4 separate regions of the Mus musculus genome follow, and all the other regions are reported to be linked to region 1. The links are microRNA targets in miRTarBase. Many come from high-throughput screens and were not tested one by one. Region 1 holds a microRNA gene; each other region holds the end of a gene's coding sequence.

What was found. The annotated mature microRNA mmu-miR-3572-3p reads UACACUUGUCCUUCUUUCCCCAG and lies in region 1 at 3,663-3,685, opposite strand. An mRNA with a match to its seed (bases 2 to 7 or 8) in the 3' UTR can be bound and repressed. Matches are read on the target gene's strand: a 7mer-m8 pairs with bases 2 to 8, a 7mer-A1 pairs with bases 2 to 7 and ends in A, and an 8mer does both.
Region 2: the mRNA of Pdxdc1 is a reported target of mmu-miR-3572-3p. Seed matches in the 3' UTR shown: 7mer-A1 at 949-955.
Region 3: miRTarBase lists Arid4b as a target of mmu-miR-3572-3p. Seed matches in the 3' UTR shown: 7mer-A1 at 1,722-1,728.
Region 4: miRTarBase lists Gmeb1 as a target of mmu-miR-3572-3p. Seed matches in the 3' UTR shown: 7mer-m8 at 1,383-1,389.

What each region holds. Positions count from the first base shown.
Region 1 is chr7:3,654,695-3,659,694 of GRCm38, reverse strand. It overlaps Mir3572 (microRNA 3572), which reads right to left and starts at 3,733; the gene lies at 3,648-3,733. Cnot3 (CCR4-NOT transcription complex, subunit 3) reads right to left here. Exons shown (of 18, transcript NM_146176.3): 11 at 3,743-4,124; 12 at 3,539-3,662; 13 at 2,710-2,908; 14 at 1,595-1,694; 15 at 1,304-1,502; 16 at 954-1,086; 17 at 189-314.
Region 2 is chr16:13,831,488-13,836,685 of GRCm38, reverse strand. It overlaps Pdxdc1 (pyridoxal-dependent decarboxylase domain containing 1), which reads left to right. Exons shown (of 23, transcript NM_053181.3): 23 at 71-986. The coding sequence ends at 327. Ntan1 (N-terminal Asn amidase) reads right to left here. Exons shown (of 10, transcript NM_010946.4): 7 at 5,026-5,079; 8 at 4,252-4,349; 9 at 1,892-2,005; 10 at 1,236-1,551. The coding sequence ends at 1,372. Among named protein-coding and RNA genes, the nearest start is that of Ntan1, 15 kb to the right of the region's middle.
Region 3 is chr13:14,196,814-14,202,011 of GRCm38, forward strand. It overlaps Arid4b (AT rich interactive domain 4B (RBP1-like)), which reads left to right. Exons shown (of 24, transcript NM_194262.2): 24 at 793-2,790. The coding sequence ends at 920. Among named protein-coding and RNA genes, the nearest start is that of Gm26129, 110 kb to the left of the region's middle.
Region 4 is chr4:132,221,017-132,226,214 of GRCm38, reverse strand. It overlaps Gmeb1 (glucocorticoid modulatory element binding protein 1), which reads left to right. Exons shown (of 10, transcript NM_020273.2): 10 at 1-5,190. The coding sequence ends at 450. Among named protein-coding and RNA genes, the nearest start is that of Ythdf2, 11 kb to the right of the region's middle.

The sequences.
Region 1 (5,000 bases):
AAAACTAAAGCACTAAGAAATGGACAAATGGGAGATGGACAGTATCCCAGGCTAGGTGAACCACTTAGGGAACCAGCTTGGTCAGTCTACAGGACTGTGCCCAAAGGAGAAAGGCCAGCAAGGATTGAGGGTTGGGATTGGGTACACTAGCCATACCCCAGTGGGCCCAGGTTGGACGGGCCCCTCACCTGCTCAAACTCATCTGTGATGGTCTTAGGCTCCTCGTGCCTCTGGAACCACATCATATACTTGGTGTGGAATCGCCAGGACTGCTTCTTTAGGGCCTTGGCTGCCAAGTACTGTGCCTTGGTTCCCTGGGAAAGAAAATGCAGAGGAAAGATCAGAAGGTATCCAAATTGAGTAGCTAGCAGGGGGACAAGGGCAGGGCATCAGGGCTGGACCCAGACCCCCACCACAGACCAGCTGTGGAGAGTCCACTTGGAGACAGTGCTGGGAGCACAAAACATACCATGGTCAGAAGAAAATGAGACAGGAGGTGAGAATTGCTTTCAGAAAAGCTTTGAGAAAGAAGAGAAACTAATGCATAATGAAAGCTGAAAGGAGACGAAGTAGAAAACTCAGGAGGAGATGGGGAGGGGCTGACCCACTGCAGTTAAGAGGTCAGACAGTTCTGCAGAGGTCTCTAGGTCTTGGGAGTGTCTACTGCACTTCAGCAACTATCCTAAACTAAAGGGTTTCCCAGGAGCTGAGAGCTCTTGGCAGTGGAAACTGTACATGGCCTAGGGCCTGCAGCCTCTCCCTGAATCTTAGCAATTAGAATGTTTTGGGACTGGGTCAGGTTTAATTTGAGGGGGCCCAAGACTGGGATAGGGAGGGGTGCGGTCCCAGTGGCCGCAGTGGGACACCCACCTCGCCCCTCCAGCCCGAGGGGGGATGGCAGCGGTGGCGGCGGAGCTGGGGGGCCCGAGGCTGCCCCGGGGGCCCTGCTGTACCTCCAGATAGTAGAAGATGAAGAAGAGCGTCTCAGTTGACAGGCGCTGGTAGAACTCCACAGTGTCCGAGTGTGGGGGTGGCATCTGGTGGTGGTAGGGGGGTGTCGGGCAAGGGTTCCGGGGGAGGTACTGCCTGTGGACCAGTGAGGATTTAGTGCCAGGAGGCTCTGAGCTCCAGCCCTGCCTTCAGGAGAGTGTTCAGAAGCACACTTCAACCTGCTTTAGGGAGCCCCAAGTCAAGTCCTCAGCACTTTGAGACGAGTACTCTACCTAGTCTCTCAGGACCCAGGAACCAGCTCCTCCCTCAGACTGGGGAGTCCCGGTCCCCAGCCCTTTCTCCAGCCCCTCACCGAATGCGCTCGGAGTCAGAGGGGTGGGGCATGTGGTGCCAGGCGGCCTCTTCCATGGCCTGTTGGTATAGCTGCTCCTTGGTGAGGGAAACTGGCCCCAGTGGACAGACACCCAGTGACAATGGTATGTTCACCTCTGACAGCTGCAGGGGTGGCTGGGATGAGGTGGGTGGTGCTGATGTGCTGCTCAGGATGATGTCTGCAGGGGAGAGGCCATTAAGCACTTCAATGATGAGGATGGGGTCAGCTCCTTTTTGGCCTTTGCCCTCCCCACAATCCCATAACTGTCACCTCGATCAGTTAGGTGTAACGTTGGCACAGGGTCCTCAATACCAGAGCTGATAGCTGCCCGTTCTGCCATGGATTTCAGAGAGCTGAGTGGTTCAGGGGCCTGGGAAGAGAAAGGGGTTAAGTCTCAGGACCTGAGCAGAGACTGAGCTGCATAAAAATGTTCAGCCTAGGGGCTGGAGCAGTCAGTGGTTAAGAGCACTGTCTGCTCTTCCAGAGGTCCCGAGTTCAATTCTCAGCATCCACATGGTGGCTCACAACCATCTGTAATGGGATCCGATGCCCTCTTCTGGTGTGTCTGAAGACAGCAGGTGTACTCACATACACACAATAAATAAATAAACCAATAAACAAACAGATAAATCTTAAAAAAAAAAAAAAGCACAGCCTGATAGGCTCTGTACACTCTGCATAATCTGCTATTGCCAGTCCCCTATTTGCAAGATCCATCCATATTCTAAACCATGGCTATAGGGAAGCTGCAAATCTGAAGTCACCAATCAGCATGAGATTTGTGAGAGTTCACTCTCCTCTTTGCAGGGTCCATAACACATTCCAGAGGAAACGTGACCCTATGCAGTGGACAAGCACACACTTCCATAAAGACACCACATGCTGGGAGAACACCCGCCGGACTGCTCACAGTAGTATGCTTCTTAGAGGTGGGTGGCAGAACTGCAGGTGCTCCTGTTGCCTTAAGGGTGCCGACCATCCCTTGGGCATTCAGTCTCCTTGGGAACATCAGTGGGTTGGGCCTGCAGCCCCCCCCCCCCCCCCCAGCTTTCCCTGGTGAGGCAGCTCAGGGCTGGCTCTTCTACCCACTCTGTACAACTCTTCCATCACTGAAGCCCACCCACAGACCTGCACTCCAACTCTCTTGGAGGGACTCATTCTTCACCAGTCACAGCCAATGAGGCTCAGTCCTTCATGCTACTCTTCCCCCACCCTTCCAGGAGTCTCTCCACAAGGTGTCACTTTGCTTCTCCTCCTGTCAAAATCATGCTAACGCCGTTATCACCCACTCAGGAGAACTTCTAAGATGTTTCCCCTCTAGGAAAGTGCACTCATTGAATTTCCTGTCGCAGGATAGGCTCAGGGCTCACACCCGAGAAACTCACCTTGATTTCTGGGGTGGTGCTGAACTGTGGAGGACCATTAAGCAGGGTACCAGCTGCCTTGGCTTCACTGAAGCTGGGCGTTGGAGAACTGGGGGGATTTACAGGCAGTGGCACCAAGAGGCTGGGTCCCCCCGAGTTATTCCCTGAGCCTGAAGCCACATTCCCAGCCCCTGATGGGGCTGCCGTACTGGATTCCTTTCTGGGTAAAGAATGGAGGAGAATCAAATTAAGATCCTTGAAGACAGGCACAGAATATGGGATCCAAAAAGGGGGGTGGGGGCTGAAAGCAAGACAGCTGGAGCATGCAGAAGTGAATCCAACCTCTGGACTCCTCTTCAGTACAGCAGAGGTACTGAGGTGTGCAACCAGGATTTTAGGGTCCCCCCAACAGCTTATGAAGTTAAAGGACAGGGGACAGGGTAGTTCTAGAATTGTCACTGAAACAGTTTTGGAGTAAATGATTGCACAGATGCACATGGTGCAATCCCAGTAGGACTGGTAACGAGGCTGACAAGGCAGCAGATCTTTCATTAGTAATCTGATGTCAAGCTGAAGAAATGGAGGACTAGGATATTTTACTTGGAAAAGGGAAAAGCCCCCACACTCATGGGAGTCAGCTGCCTCAGAGCAAAGAACAGAAATGGGAAGACAGTGTAGTGTGAAACCGAGAGTAAAACATGTCCCACTTGGTAAGAAGCAGGGAAAAGAACACTTGCTGAGGTGAAGAAAGGACACACTGGGTAGGTACTACCCAGGAAGGGTAGAACTTGGAACCCTAAAACAAGTGGCATAAGAGCTTGTGCCCACACACTGCCACCCCACTACTCACGAGGTGCTGGGAGCTGGGTTGTGAGGGCCCGAAGTGGGCCCAAGGGCTTGGCTGCTGGCACTGCTGCCCCCACTGCTACTCAGGGTCACCTCTGCAGGGCTGTCTGCCACAACCGAACTATAGCCTGGGGAAAGAAGGACAAGTGTAAACAGGCTGTCAGCTACTGTCCACCTTGCCCTGTTCCCCAAACTGGTCTCCACTTACTTGTGGCACCGTTCTGCTTGCCAGCCCCTCCGCCTGTGCCACTGTTACTATTGCTGCTGCTCCCTCCGCTGCCACCACCACTTCCCCCGCTTGGCTGGGCACTGGGGGGCCGTGGCTGGGCATTGCTGGGCCCGCTGGCATTAGGTGGGGCCACAGCCTGGGCATAGGGTGCAGGAGTACCCGAGTTGTGGCTGGGAGCTGGACTGGCCTTAGGGCCCAGGGCACTTGTAGGTGCTGCTGGGGTAGAGGCCCCATTGTTGCCAGGGGTGGAGCTCAAGGCAGAAGTGGTAGGTGGGGGGCCAGAGGGGTAGGTGGGCGGCACAGCTGGGGACTGGGGGTGCTGGTTGCTGTGGACAGGCTTGGAGCCATTTTTGGCTGGAGACTGCAGGAAGAAAGAAAGAAAAAACAAAGGGTCAGGTACTAGACCAGCCTGTCCCCTATCCACCACCCTCTTCTTGTCCTCCTGCCTTGCCTCTGACCTGCTATTAACTGTCCACATTCTCTGAGGCACCTAGGAGACTTCAATCACCTTCAGGTTTAAGACCTATTTACTTCCAGCCCACCCAGCTGTCCCAAGTCCTCCCCGGACATTGTCCCTATAGCCCACATGAATCTGACAGGGTTTAGGTTAAGACAAGAGACCAAGGGAAACTCTCAAATACCCTGAACTTGAGACCTAAAGTGGTGACACATGCCTTTGATCCTAGCACTTGAGAGGCAGAGACAGGCAGCCCTCTATGAGTCTGAGATTAGCCTTGTCTATTTGGAGAGCTCAGGCCAGCATAGGCTACACAGCGAGATGCTCTTGTAAAAGAAACAAACAACACAAACAAAAACAAAAATCCCAACCTCAATTTGCAATTAGTTGGATCAGCCTAAATGTTTAAGCGTAAGGGAACTAGGACAATCAATTCCTTCCGAATGTCAGCTAATCATGAAACTGTAAAAATGCAGTGCTCCAGGGCATCCCTACTTAAACTACGCTCCAACAACCAGGCTGCCATGCCAAACTGCCTCCTAGCCTTCTGACCACCACACAAAAATCACAAAGAAAACTGGCCATTCACATTTTTCCTGGGACTTCTGCTTGACAGTCAAGGGGCCTGATAAGGTGGCAGAACTAAGCCCACCCCCATGATTCCTTGCCCCACCTCCTCACTCCATTACTCTGGCTGCTCCTAAACCCTGGTCCCCAAATTAGCTTCATTAGTGTGCACTTAGGTCCTCCCACTGGAGACTGTCCTTTCTATTAGCCTAA
Region 2 (5,198 bases), not on the chromosome of region 1:
AGTGACCATCAGGACCACAGAGCCTTTGCATATACTACCAGTTTCAGGATAGTCCGTCTCATGTCCCTAGGTCAGAAGCCTTTTAAAAGGTCCCTGAGAGGCTCGGATGCTGTGAGTGAGACCAGCTCAGTCAGCCACATTGAAGACCTGGAAAAGGTGGAACAGCTGTCCAGTGGGCTAGAGCATGACAACCTAGAGGCCCACAGCCCTGAGCAGCCTCCCAGGGCCACTGATCTCACGGCCAGACAGACTGAGGCCCTGCAGAACCAGGCCCAGCATCAGGAAGATGACCATTCACAGGTAGAGGAACTGGAGCGCTTAAGATAAGCTCAGTAGTGCTGGGCTGGAGGCTGTACTAACTGTCGTTTCAGGGAAGGTGAAGTTCTATGGAAGACGTGAACTATGCCACATGTTAATATGATAAAAACTTTTGTTGTTTGTGCTAAACTGGGAGTTTTGCACAGACACATGTCAGAAAAGCGGGCTTTCTAGGGGGCAATTAATTATTTTATCTGTAAGTAGAACAAATGACAATTGACTATTTTGGCCTGTCCAACATAGGCATACCCTTTCTTCCTGTACCACACATTTTGTACTGAGAACCGTGGCCTTCAAGCACCTGCCACTTGAAACACTGCTCTCATGGCTCTGAAGCTAATCGTGATGAAGCTGCATACAGTGACTCTCCAGGTTCTCCTCCGTCTGTCGTAGTAGCTCTGTAGGTCAGCCGAGTTGTGGTAGGTGCCTGCCTCACTGGTTGGCATCAGGAGCTCCTCTGCCTCTGTCCCCACTGCTGCTTCTCCGGGAGCCTAAGTAAGGACTGTCCACATGAGCTGTGGCTAGGACTGCCCCTTGCTGCACCTTTTCTCCTTACACTCTGTAAACAAATGTAAGGACTCACCTGTTAATAGAGTAATTAACTCTTAAGATCTCTTCCTGACCATATTTAAGTGTATTTTTAAACACTGGTAATGCTTTTAAGTTGGTGCCCAGTGTGCACTGTGCTTGTGTTTATTTGGGACAGAAAGCCGCCATGACGAGTCAGTGTCGTCAGCTGTGCAGCACGGTAAGGCTGAAGCAGACAAGCCCTCGGCTAAAAGTAACTTTTGAATAAGGAGTTTTCCCGACCAACTTGTCTGTGAAGGCCCTGCCAATGAAGCCAGTGGTCTTGCTTCTCTCCCTCACTGCTGAGGGAATGTGGACTTTTTGTTGCCGTAAAAAGTCATCTAAACAAATTGCCTTTGCCAAAATAAGATTTTATTTTGAAAGACAGGAAGGACGGAAGAAGTAAAAGTGTGCAGGTGTAGATTCCAAACCAGCAACCATCTTTATCAGGTGAAGATGAATTCTTCAGTAAACTCTGAGCTGATGTTAGCTCCCTGGAGAGGAGATCTTTTCCCACAAGCCATCTTTATTTTTTTTGTAGAGGAGAGCTTTATTTCCAGGAAAGAGTATATTCTCTGGAGATGGGAATTTTTTTAAAAACATCAAGGTAGATCTAATATGTTCAACAAAGTGGGGGGGCTCGGCCAGAGGAGACGTGGAAAGGCTCTGAAAAGACAAGATGGTGGATGTGAGAGGACCAGGCTGACCTCTCATTCAACATCAGAGTAGCCTTGGGCTGCGTACACATTTACTGGGCTAGTTTCAGTGTGGTGTCTGTACATCTGGGGAAACACACACTACATTGCTTACTGCTTCACCTGTATAAACAGCTGCCAGGATGTCACTAATCCCCCACTGCCGTAAAGGAAAGAGACACTGCCAGTGGCAACAGATAGTCACTCTCACCCATTGAGGAGAAGCAGCCTTAGCTGGTCTAACCTTTTTTTCTTACAGATGGGAACCAGGGTGCAGAGACTTAAGGTTTAGCCGACCTGTAAACTCTCACCTCTAGGATTTGCTTGTCATCTTGCTGCAACCAGAAATCCACTTGTGGGAATGGCGTCCAGGAACACGGGCCTATTCGGAGTTGTTCTGTCTTTGCATCATAAATGCTAATCATCTAAAAGAACCATTTCCATGACAAGCTGTAAGGACACTGCCCTACCACTGCTATAGGCTAGTTCCAAGGTTGTCTGTCCCCTTAGCTGATAAGCTGCGCACATTGACCTCCCGTAACAACAAGGCTGCCACCACCAAATGCTTCCCTGTGCACTGCTGTGTTTACTTTTGATGGCAAGCCTACAAGAAGACAACATGCTGTCCTCTCAAGGGGAAGCTGATGGTGAGAGGTCTCAGGTCACATGTCCAGTGAGCAGCAGCAGGGCCTCAGAGCCAGGTAGGTCTGACTAAAGCCTGAATTCCTCATGGTTACACAGAATACCACAGCTCCTTATTACCACCCCAAGCAAGTAGTCATCATGTCACATAAAAGAGTTCACAGTGCCCAAGACAGACAGCTCATACCTGCCATCAAACACTCAGGAGGCTGAGGCTGACCCAGAGAAGAGCACTGTGGGTTCCAGGACAGCCTGGATGACAGTGAGGCCTTGTCTCACAAAAGGAATAAAAGAAAGGTCTGGGTCTTTTGCTTTTGTTGCTGTTTGTCTGTCTTGTTTTTGAGACAGGGACTGACTGTGGTAGACCAGGCTGGCCTTTAAACTTTGGGATCTTCCTGCTTTAAAAGTGTGCACCGCCAAGCCGGGCGTGGTGGCACACACCTTTAATCCCAGCACTTGGGAGGCAGAGGCAGGCGGATTTCTGAGTTCGAGGACAGCCAGGGCTACACAGAGAAACCCTATCTCGGAAAAACCAAAAAAAAAAAAAAAAAAAGTGTGCACCACCATACCTCCCCTGGTTTTCTGTGCTGCAGTAGGTCTCACATACCTTGGGGCTGGTCTCAACTCCCGAATGTGGGATCACAGGTGTGCATACCATCACTACCAGCTCTGTGGAAGCTGATTGGCCATTCCTTGAATTCCCAAATCATGCCAGTGGGAATTTTCAGTTTTGAAAAGAGTACTCAATATTCTAATTATTAACTAAATAACAAAAAGAATCCTTTGCCACAGTTCCAAGACACCCTAGGCTACATAGCAAAACCAAGTCAAATGCAAAGTTTTTAAAGACAAGATTAGGACTCCTGAAAATTATTAAAAGACTGGCAAAACAAATGTCTGTCTCTGAACATTTTCCTGAGATGTTGTTAGCACTACACAAACAAGCAGACTTGGAGCTTGCTGGGGCCTGCGTTGCTGGCACATACTTGAGACCAGGCACCTGTGCCCTGTGTCTTCAGTTGTTTAAGACAAGACAGGACCTCCCACTGAAGCGGAAACTACATATTCAGCAAGACTAGAAACCTCAATCGTCAGCCTGTCTCTTCCCCAGTACGAGGACTGGAAGCATGCACAGCACACCCAGCTTCTCATGTCAGTGCTACAGATCATGCCTACATAGCATAACATGTTTACATGTTACATAGGATCGTGTTTGCCTTGACATCCCAGGCTGGCCTCTACCTCACAGCAATCCACCTGTATATCTCCTGAGTGTTTAGATTAAAACTGTGTGCCAGGCTCATTCTGTACATTGTAAATTCTTCTAGCTTCTACCAATTCTTCCGATGGGATGAATATTAAGCATCCTAGAGACCAAGACACAGTTGTACACTTGTGTAATCCCAGCCTGGGAAATGTTGAAGCTCTTACATAACAAGCTCTTATCTAAAGATAAAAGGGCCTAGGCTAAAAGTGCTCGGTGACAGAGCACTTACCCAGCATATGTGAGGAGCATCTTGAATCCATCCTTAGCACTACTAAAAACAAGGAAAAATATAGTGCCCTAAGGAAGTTAGACTTTAAAACTGACTAAGTGACTCACTAAACTACTACTCCTTGGTCACTTCCGTCCCTGCCATCCTCTCTATGGGAAGACGTCCCAGGCAGGCTGTTACTGTCTCTTCTATCTTCCAAGGAGAGAACTAGTGTCTGGCACTTAGAACCTAAACTCACTTAGAACCTTTTTTTTTTTTTTTTTTTTTTTTGGTTTTTCGAGACAGGGTTTCTCTGTGTAGCCATGGCTGTCCTGGAACTCACTCTGTAGACCAGGCTGGCCTCTACTCAGAAATCCGCCTACCTCTGCCTCCCAAGTGCTTGGATTAAAGGCGTGTGCCGCCACTGCAGGGCGAACCTCTTAACTCTTGAGGAAGTGGGCTGGGTAAGGAGGTGGCCATAGCTTTTCTCGGGTCTAAAAACTTGAGGCTCTTGGGGTTCCCTCTTTATCCCACAAAAATAGGCTCCCACTCACTGGGCCTCCTGCTAAAGCTCTTGCAGCACGCAGTTGCTCCTCTGGACCACGATCTTGAAAGGAAGCTCTGTAAATCTCTGCAGTTTTAATGTTGACAGCTGCAAGGGACAAGGGAGTGACTTTAAATCGACAAAGATCCAAATCAGACTTCACATTTCTAGCACTCCACATAAGAAGCAGAAACAGAAAGGAACGGGAGCTGAAGGAAGTCTGAGGTGCTGACAACCTCTGAACCAGCACAGAGAGAAGAACAGCCCCAGACCTGCTCTGGACCCTTGCGGCATGTGGTTTCAGAACTCTGCTGCGACCACAGACACTTGTGAGGCTGCAAAGTGACAGAGAATAAAATAAGAAGTGCCTGTGTGCTCACCACCCAGCTAGCTAAACAAGGATACACCAGAAGCCCTTTGCAATTTGCTAGCCTCAGAACTGAAGAGAGGAGGACCCTGGGCTTCCTTACTTCATTCCCAGAATATATAGAGATCCAAATACCTCACACCTTCCCCATGAGCACTGGCTAGGGGGGAAAAACGCCAGACCCCTCCCCTCCAGTGAGGCAGTGTGACACTGTGACATGTGACACTGTGCTACAGGAATGAGTGTGGGGTGCATAGCCTGTGCTGTACACTGGCATTAACAACCTCACAGCTAAAAGGTTAGTCAAGGTTGGCCTCTTGCCCAGGGTTTCCAAACTCACCAACAGACCTTTAACCTAACACAGTCTGCTATGCCCACATGCACACCATATAACCCTCGGATACAAACGCTACTTACCGATGCCATAAATGATTGGAAAGTGATTTTCATTTTCTTCACGGTCATTTAACTCTAAGAAACAAAGGGAAGTAGAAGCACTAAGCAGTTGTTCCTCATAGAGGAGAAGCTCAGTCAGTGCAGAGCCCCAGGGGGCACTGGCCAGCCCAGCCCGCCCAGGAACAGAGAAACCA
Region 3 (5,198 bases), not on the chromosome of region 1:
GGTCCCAGAGATGAATTCAGACTGGCCAGTCTTGGTGGCAGGTGCCTTTATCCGTAGAGTTGTCTCACTGGATGTTTATTCCTTCTTATTTGTGTGTAGAGATAATCTTTTAAAACATTCCATTTCATGTACTGATAATAATGAAAGACTTCCCTTGAGGAAAACAGTCCTCAGCCACCCATTCTTTTTACACTTGAAAACAAAGTCATTTATTTTCTGAGTGCAATGTGCACAAGAAGAAACATCATTGAGTCATTTCTTCCCTTCTACCTGGTAGTGTCTGGGCGTTCAGCTCAGGTTGTTAGGCTATATCTGCCAAGCTACCTCTGTGGTCTCAGAGTTTAGTGGAAAAGTGGTGCAGAATGAGGTATTAGAAAAGTAGCAGACAGACAATTTTCCTGTTTTCATTCAAAACTGTGTGGGTAGTTAGTGAACAAAGTTACTCTTTAATTATGTGTTCTGCAGTATGTATACACAAATCCTTTCCTCCCCTCCCTCTTCCCTCTCCACCTTGCTTTCTTTTTCCTTTGACAGGGCTAGGAATAGAACCAATGTCCTTGTAATCCCATCAAGTCCGTTGCCACTGAGCTCTGCCGTCTGTGGTTTGCAGATGGGCAACAGTCTGCTGCTGGCTTTCCCTTTCTTTATACTGTGGTACTTTGTGCAGGGATGGCTCCTATACACTGACTTTGGAGAACACAAGAGAAGTTTAGGCTGAAGCTGAGTGAGCTTTTTGCATCTTCCCAGTGCAGCCTGCTTTGTAGCCTCACGTGTGCTCTTCCTTCTTCTCAGGTGCTGCTACATCTTCTTCCTCCTCTTCTCCCTCGTCCAGCTCCATCACAGCTGCTGTTATGTTGACACTAGCTGAACCATCAATGTCCAGTGCATCACAGAATGGAATGTCAGTTGAGTGCAGGTGACAGCAGGACTTGCTAGAGCACTTTGCACTTAATGGCTGTTGAGGGCCACATCTTTTTTTATACTGCACAGTGGCACACAAACACACAAAATCAGACAAGCACTATTTTATATTTAAAAATTATTTCTTGACAAGCTGACTTGGCACTTAAGTGCACTTTTTTTATGAAGAAAAAGTACAACGAACTGCTTTTCCTCAAGCAATAATTGTTTCCAACTTGTCTGGGAATTGCGTGTGTCTGGTAACTTGAAGGCCTTCCACTGTGGCAGAGGAGGCTTTTCACTGCCTGTAGAGACGACACAGTAGGCAGAGAAAAGGTGGGCCAGAACATGTGAGAAGACTTACTGTATATGTATTCCCTTGTATTTTGTTAAAGCTGGAACATTTGATATTTTTCCATTCATTTATTAAAAATATGAACCTATTTTCATTTGTACAAGCTAATTGTTTTTTAAAGCAAGTCACTTTAGGGTGACTTTAATTGTATAAGTCAAGCACATGTAACAAATTCAAGACTTGCAGTTAGTTAACAGGATATTATTAGACATCATCCTGGTAACCAAATATTAAAGATTCTCTTTAAAAATGACTGAACATGTTTACAGGTTTGAATTAGGCTAAAAGGTCTGTGGTGGCTTTTCACACCCCTTCAAATTGAAATGGGACTACTGTACTTTGCCATTTTTCTATAAATCAGTATTTTTTTTTAATTTTGATATAATACATTGTGTGAAAAAAGAAAATGGCTAATAAACTGTATTAAATCTTAAACAATGTATAAAGATTGTACTTAGCCAGTTCAAAGTGTATATTTATTCATAATGAATTATAACAGTTATATTTTTGTGTTTTCTTGTAAATGTTTCTTTTCCCTTAAATACAGATAATTCATTTGTATTGCTTATTTTATTATGAGCTTACAACAAAAAGACTTCAGGAACAAACTGTTAGAATGGTTCAAGGTTGTTTATATGACCTGCCTCACAAAGATGGTTATTATTTTAAGTATAAGTAGCTAGTTGGGTAGTAGGCCTATACAATTCAATGCCTTGTATAAACTGCAGAATGAACGCCAAGCTGTTTTCACTTGTATTGACTTTATGTTGTATGATTCCAATCTCTGTTTGGCACTTGTATTTAATTCCCCACCTTTGTAATACATTTGTATATTGCGGATGTGTTCATTGAGGCTATTTAAAACCTGGCGCTGTTAATACACAGTACTTCACTGTACAGACCGTTTTACTGTTTTAATTGTGATTCTGTGTGCTTTTTTTGAATGAGGCTGGCATGTTTTATTTGTTTTCTGGCAATACATGTGAGAATCTCGAAGCGTTTTGTTGTAGATGCTAACGTGTCAGAATCCTTAATCCTTTACATTGAACCTTTCTAAGAAAAGCATTTTCAGTCTTGTAATGTGTGCTTACAGTAACTAATTTTGTTGAAAAATGATTTCAAATTACTCAAATTTGTACAGACTGTAAAGATTTGTTGACAGCAAAATGTTGAAGAAAAAACTTATAGAATAAAACTATAAAGTATATATTAGGATCTGCAAACATGATGAATTATGTAATATATTGTACAAATGTAAGCAAAAGCTCTGAAATAAAATGCCATAGTTTGTGAATCCTTGATTTTGTTTGTAGAAGGTAAAGTAATTTGAGTTCACTTTGTATGTGATGAGTGCTGAGAGTCCATGCAGCCTGTATTACCTATCACAAGGGCTCACATCCGTATCCCAAAGGGAGTGTTCCGCTGTTCAAAATTAAAAGTCCCTTTATACAGTGCTGGGTTGTATAGCATGTACTTAGTGTGCTCCAGTCCTTGGCTTCAGTTCGCAGCACTGCACCAAATCAAACCGTAAATTCAAAAAAAAGAAAAAAAAAAAAAGTAAGTAAAGTGATGTTTTTAGGCTGTTATTATATAACTTTGCTAGAGTCTGAATACAGATTTTTTTGTTACAGTTGGGGGGAGGGGGGCATTGTCCAAAGAAGGAAAAAGGTAAGTACAATTTTAAAACTATATTTTGGGGCTAGCAGAGGTAAGCACTGATGACCAATCTTGATTTATCAATCCCTAGAACCCACATAGTAGAAGGAAAGACTGTCTCCTGCAGTTATCCTCTGCATTCACATACACAAAATACACAATAGAAAAGGATGTTTCTGCAGTGTATAATGGCCCATACCTGTAATCCCCAGCCTCAAGAGGTTGAGGCAGTTAGATCTTGAGCTACAGACGGAGTCTGTCTCAGTAAACAAACCTTGTTTTTCCTTTTTCTTGAGAATAAAATTGCTATATTGCCCAACCTGGTTTCAGTCTCACAGATTCTCAATTCTGCCTGAGACTCAAAGTGCCAGTATTATAGACCAGTAGTTTCTTAAAAAATTTTATTTTTCTCAGAATTATTACCTACAGTGTCTCTTGTCATTTAATATGATGGAGCCTTTCTGGCTCTGCTTTGAGTAACACCTCTGTACCTGTTACAGGAATCCAGTAATCATTGTTAAACCAGCCAGTATGCCTCTCCCCATTTCCAAGGTGCCCTAATTTACCTGATATATTGTATATTATCTTTTAAAAAAAACACTGAAGCAATTTAATCTGTAATCTCTCAGTGTAGAGTCCTTTCTTATATAGACCAAGCTGGCCTTCAACTCAGATTTACCTGCCCCTACCTCCTAAGTGTAGGCATTAGAGGTGTGTACACTACACCTGGCCTTAAGCCACTTGCTCCCAAATATGTTCATTGTGGCACTTAAGGAGGAAGAAAGTGGAAGAGATGGGCTTATAGTCAGAGGGTCTTGAAAGTCATCTAACAAATTTGTACTATATCACTGCAACCAGTGCGGGGGTTAGGTATCAAAAAATGTGCTGCCACTTGAGAGGAAGGGGGTGGTAGCACAAACTCGATGGTGTTTCAGTCAGAGCCCAGGAGTCTTCAAGACTCCATAGCTTGCCTTTCTCCTCTTACACAGGTAAGAAAACAAGGACCGACAAAGGGGGAGTCTCAACAGAGTGCTGCATGGCCCTTGTCATTCTCTTTAGTATTCCTTTCCCCAGCTGCACGTAATACTGATGGCTGGCAGAACAGAGGTGGGTTCCTGGCCAGAAATTGCTCTTGCTTTTGAAGACAATCTTGAAGAATGAGGACAGTGAACTTGTACCTGATCCAACTGACTCCTGTACCTAATACTCTTGAGCTTCGATGCATCACATCTAAACCATGAAGTTGAGGCATGAGAATAGGTCTGAACAGGCTAGGAGGAATGTACACACTCTGCTGCAGTTTGATCATTGACGTGTCAATTTAAGTTGGCCTACAACTTACCCATAAGGAGATGATCGCATGCTCATGGCCAGCTTTTCAGACTTCTTGTACACCCAAGTCCAGGTTTCCCTAATCGGCTCAGGGCAGCACGACAAACAGGAGACCTAAACCATCAGTTCCCCAGCTCCTGAGTCCCGATCAGCCACAGCCTGCTTGGAGAAGGGTTCAGAATGGAGGGACAAGGCCCCATCTCGGAAGTGACTGGAACTTGGGACCAGAGGGAACGTGAGATTCGTGGGAGTCCGGAAGTGAGGACTCTGCGTTGAGGCCGTTCAAGGAAGCTCAGGTCTAAACTTGGTTTCGGAAGGAAGGAGCACAAGAGAAAAAAAGGGCCTGGAGTGGGGGGTGAGTGGTGTGCATTATTTCAGAGCCATGTATCTGTGTTCTTATCAAGAGCCCTGTGGAATGCCAGGCTGGTTTCAGCTTGCAGGGTGTCCAGTACTCTCTTGGTGACGGTGTAGGTCTCCCCCTTGAGTTCCACCAGTGTTCATGATGACTCCAGGTGAATCTCTGAGCTGTGTCCAAGTGTCCCTTTAGGACTAGGCTTAGCGGGTAACTCCTGTAGTTACTAGCTATGCCAGGGGAGCCCTCCTTCCCTTAAGCTGGGTAAGCACTTCACCATTGGGCCACATTCTCAGCTCACCAGAGCTCAGAGTCTCTCTTAGAGTCCATGTACGCCTCAAATTCCATTATGTTGCTGAGGATGACTGTAAAGTCTGGGCCTGCTCAAGCCTTTTGAGTGCTGAGATTACAGGCCTGTGTGGCTCCCCTGCCTTTACTTTTTATTTTGAGATAGGGTCTTAATCTTCCTAAGTTGCTCAGGCTGACCTTCAGTACACACCTAGCTCAGGAGCTGTTTTCTTGCTTCAGCCTTCCACTGAAGAGCTAGGATTACAGGCTTGTGTGGCCAGGCCCATCAAATCTGGCTTCATGACTAATTCAAGA
Region 4 (5,198 bases), not on the chromosome of region 1:
GCTACCCTCAGCCAGGGCTCCAGTCCTGTGACTGTCCACACACTGCCTTCTGGCCCTCAGCTCTTCCGCTATGCCACGGTGGTTTCCTCTGCCAAGAGCAACTCACCAGACACAGTGACCATCCACCCTTCCTCAAGTTTGGCACTGCTAAGCTCCACCTCTATGCAGGATGGGAGTTCCCTGGGCAACATGGCCACCATGGTGAGCCCCATGGAGCTGGTGGCCATGGAGTCCGGCCTGACGTCAGCAATCCAGGCTGTTGAAAGCACCTCTGAGGATGGGCAGACCATCATTGAAATCGACCCTGCCCCAGACTCCGAGGCTGACGACACTGAGGGCAAAGCAGTCATCTTGGAGACAGGGCTGAGGACTGAGGAGAAAGTGGTAGCCGAAATGGAAGAACACCAGCATCAGGTCCACAATGTGGAGATTGTGGTCTTGGAGGACTGATTGGGGACAGGGCCAAGAGCTGTGTTTTGGTTTGGAATTTTAATTATGTTTATTTTTATCATTGTCCCGCTCATTTCCACATAGAACTTTTTTTAAAAAAAAAACAAAAACAAACAAAAAAAAACCAAACTACAAAATCTCGTTGTAACTGCAAATGTTGGGTTCCTCCTACTTCCTCATTGACAACTGGACAGAACAAGCTGCCTTTCCAGAAGTTAGAAACAGGGCACCCAGGGTCTGAACCATCTTTCCCCAAGGAAGGTAATTGCTTTTAGGGGAAGTGTCAAAATATCCAGGAATCCTTTCCAGAATAGTCTGTCTGTGTATACACGCATGGTCTCACTCTTGTAAAGACGCATTGACCAGACCCTGGAACACAGATCTGACTCCAGAAGATGACCAGCTCTGCTGTGGATACAGAAGCACGCTTGCCTCTGTGTCCTGGATATGATGGCCTCAGATGCTGGTGTGCAAAACTGAAAGAACAGGAGGTTGGCTCTGCTTAGGGTGGAAAGTAGTGTGATCAGCAGCTCATAGGGGGAGCCCTTTGACAGGGAGGGGCCGAGGAATGGTCTTCCAGAGGTGCATCTGATGCCCCTTGCGCTCTCTGAGGGTTGGGTACCATTTTCAATTTCAGAAGAGGACAGAGATTATAGAAAGACACAAAGCAATCAAAAGATTGTCACAGCTGTGCTTTTGGGATAGCTCACCTTGCCCCCAGCCTTGTCAAAGCCCTCACCCTCCTCGCCCAGGACTATCAGTCCATTCCTTTGCAGACTGTGATGTGGTATAAATTGTTCTAATTCTTGGACTGTGGCTGTCATGGAGGTGGGGCTCCAAGGCCATCATTTTTCGTTTCTTGACTCCAGGAATGGCAGAGTCCCTCGTGCAGACCAGCTGCTATTTTTGGTGGAGCCCTGCACGTAAGCATGCAAGTGTGTGTGTGTGTGTGTGTATGTGTGTGTGTGTGTGTGTGTGTGTGTGTGTGTACATGTTTCGGGTTTGGAACCAAAAGCAGTCATTTCCCTGGTGCTTCCTTTTCTTTTCCTTCCGTCTGCTGGACCCCATGCTCAGTAGCTTTTTGGCAGACAGCAGTGACAGGTGCCTGCCTGCCTTCATTCTCTTTGCCATTCTCCTCTTCTGATACCACAGATGTTTCTGTGAGATACCGAACTCATAAAATGGCTTAGGCTTGGCAGGGACAACTGGTAACACCTTTCCTGAGGTGTGGACTAGATGGCTCCTGAGTGAGCTGCACTTTCTGGGAAAGGGACATTGTATTTGACATTGTAAGAAGTATGACAGGAGTGTCAGTAACGTCCAGGCGTGGGGCTTCTTCCTAAATGCTGTTTGTACATTCGGTACTACTAGGTCACTCTTTCTGCTGTGATCCCATGTCGTTGATTCTCTTCAGCGTTTGGGGGAGAGTAAGCAGTTTCTGGTTTCTTTAATTATATTGTTTACTATGTTAGGGAAAATATAGAGACTCTCGAGGTGACTTTATAGGTCAAAAAAGCATACAGCTTAGGAGCTGGAGGATTTATTATTATTATTAAAAGTAAAATTTTGGCTTTTGTTTAAAAAAAAAAAATAGAGAAGGATGCCTGTCTAAATCTGTCTTCCTGCCTGCAGGTTTTGAAAACCCTGTAAGCAACCAAAAGTTGCACCTTCCATCTCTTAGACGGCCATGTGTCACCAGGGAAGCAAGCCCTCAGGGATCACTCTGAAGACCCTGAAGAGTGCGGCTTCTGAACTCTATTCAGATTTGTTTCAGCTTTAAAACTGGACTTTTCTTTTCAGACTCTTTAGTTAGGCTGGGGACAGAACTGAATTGGTAAAGTGGTCACCTAGCGTTCATGAAACCCTGGGCTCAGTCTCCAGCCAGAAGTAAACTGGGCATGGGGCCACATATCTGATCCTAACACTTGGGAAATAGAGACGGGAGACTTAGAAATTCAAGGTCATACATACCAAGTTCAAGACCAACCTGGGATATATGAAATAGTGTCTCAAAAAATTTTTGTTTAGGACAAGCTTTTGGTGAAAGAAGGAATTTATTCCTGCCTTCCTTACACTTTGTTAATACATAGGAATTTTTATTACATTTATTTATCTGTGTGTGTGTGTGTGTGTGTGTGTGTGTGTGTGTGTGTGATGGTGAGCTTGCTACGGTATGTATGTGAAGATCAGAGAACAACCTGCAGGAGTCTGTTCTCGCCTTCCACCATGTGGGTCCTGGGAATTGAACTCAGGTTGCCAGGCTTGGTGGTAAGCACCCTCATCCATTGAGCCATCTTGCCTGCTCTAAAAGTTTCGGTCTTCAGACCAAAACTGTTACTTGAACCTAGAAAGCCACATCGCATCCCTGTTGTGTCCTTTAGGTCATTTCTCTTTTCCAGAGATGGGCAGACCAATTCAGGACACGGGAGGCACCCTAGAGAATAGAGGCAGGCTCCTTCAGGTCCTGCCTTTTTGCTCTTCACAGCTGTTGTGTCATTAAAGGTTGTGTGAGCAGCATGCTTCCAAAGTCAGATTTCCTTCTTGAGACAGAGCCTGTTTACTTAAAACAGATTACATGAGCTTTGCTGTTTTCCTGGTCTTCCAATTGCTGTCATTGCTAGCTGCAGTGGTACTTGGAGAGATGAGATCTCTCACAGACCTGGTCTAGATTATTTTAGGTGGGGTGATACACATGCAAGCTTCTGATGTGTGAATAGGCAGTTGCAATGAAATTACTCCTCAGGCTGACTTGATGGTAGCTATCTTTTCTCTAGCCATTCATTAAATAAACATTTGTAAGTACTGTCTATGTATAAGTACTAAACGCCAACTGATTGCGTCACCTAAGCCCCAGTAAGTACCATGAAGATGCAGGTTTTGTGCTAGACACTGATCTTGCAGACAAGACAATTCCTGTTCTTAAGAAGTTCATACCCAGACATCTTTGCAGTTAACCACACTTTTTGTTTGTTTGGTTTGTTTTTTGAGACAGGGTTTCTCTGTGTAGCCCTGGCTGTCCTGGAACTCTCACTATGTAGCCAGGCTGACTGGAACTCACAGAGATCTGTTTGCCTCTGTCTTCCAAGTGCTGGGATTAAAGGTGTGCACCACCACTGCCATAGTGAATAGTCAACCGTATTTTAATGTCATTGGTTTCTTTTGTGATCCTGTTTTATCTTAAATATTGGGAAGGACTCTGAGTCTTTAGTTCCTAGGTTTCAACAGGCAAAGTCACAGAGGTGAAGCCACCCCTGGTGAGATTTTACCTTAGGTTGAGGTGACTGTAGCTATGGTCTTTTTTTTTTTTTTTAAAGATTTATTTATTTATTATATGTAAGTACACTGTAGCTGTCTTCAGACACTCCAGAAGAGGGAGTCAGATCTTGTTACAGATGGCTGTGAGCCACCATGTGGTTGCTGGGATTTGAACTCTGGACCTTCGGAAGAACAGTCGGGTGCTCTTACCCACTGAGCCATCTCACCAGCCCCAGCTATGGTCTTTTGGCCTGGAGTTAAGCACAAAAGATCAAGCACTTACTCAGCTTGGGGTCTGAATGGCTTCCGCTAATCTGAGGCAGTTCTCTGCATACCCTAGTTGCCCTTGAACTTGGCTATGTAGAGTAGCCTGGCTTTGAGCTCATAAAGGTCCATCTGCCTCTGCCTCCTAAGCATTGGGATTAAAGCTATCACACTTGGCTCTTGCTACTCCTCAGTTTCTAGGCTTCCAAAGAGTGGTGCTGCATGCGTGCCTGGGGCCCCGGCCCCAGAGGGCAGGGGCAAGAAGAGAGAAAGCTTCAAGATCCTGTCTCACAAACCAGAAATTTAGGCTTCCACATCCCAAACCCAAAGTTACTCTACTTTTGTTTGTGTCGCTCCCCCCTCCCCCATGGACAATAGACATTCAAGATTCAAACCCACTTTGGTGTGTCGTTCCCTCACCTGCCATAGCAGGAGAGAGAACTAATATAGATGAATAGCAGGTGATTCTTTTAATGTTGCTGGTTTGTCCCATTTCATGAGAGACACTATAGATAAGTATATATGGGGAGTACTGATTTTATTTACAAAAAAAAAAAATGTACATTTAGTGTGCTTGTGTGTGTGTGGCATGCCGGAGTACATGGTGTCTTTATCAATGAACAGCTTTCAGGATTCAGTTCTCGCCTTCCACTGTGTGGGTCCCAGGGGTCAAATTCAGTTTGCCAGGCTTGGCAAGCAAGCACCTCTACTCACTGAGCTATCTTGCTGGCCCAATGAGATTTTTTCTTTTTCATGTATTTATTTTAGTTTATAATTGTTCTTGCAAGTATGTATGTGCACCTCACCTCTCACGCATGCCTGGTATCTGACGTGGTTGGTCGGAGAACATTTCTGATCCCCTGGAACTGGTGTTAGAGATGGTGTCTGCTACCATGTGGGCGCTGGAAATCCAACCCAGGTTCTCTGAATGAATACATGCTCTCAACTGAGCTGTCTCTTCGGGTGATATTATAAATAACAAAACTGTTGTGAAATATGGAGTCATTGAGTCAGAACTGACCCATAATGGAGGACTATCTAGGAGATGGAAAAGAATCCTTCCCTCAACCCTCCCCAAAAAAGGTTGAATTCTGAAATTAAGCACAAAGTGGTGGTGGCACACATCTTTGATCCCAGCACGTAGGAGCCAGTTGGATCTCTGAGTTCAAGGCCAGACTTGTCTCGAGGACAGCCAAGGCTACACAGAGAAATCACATCTTGAAAAAAAA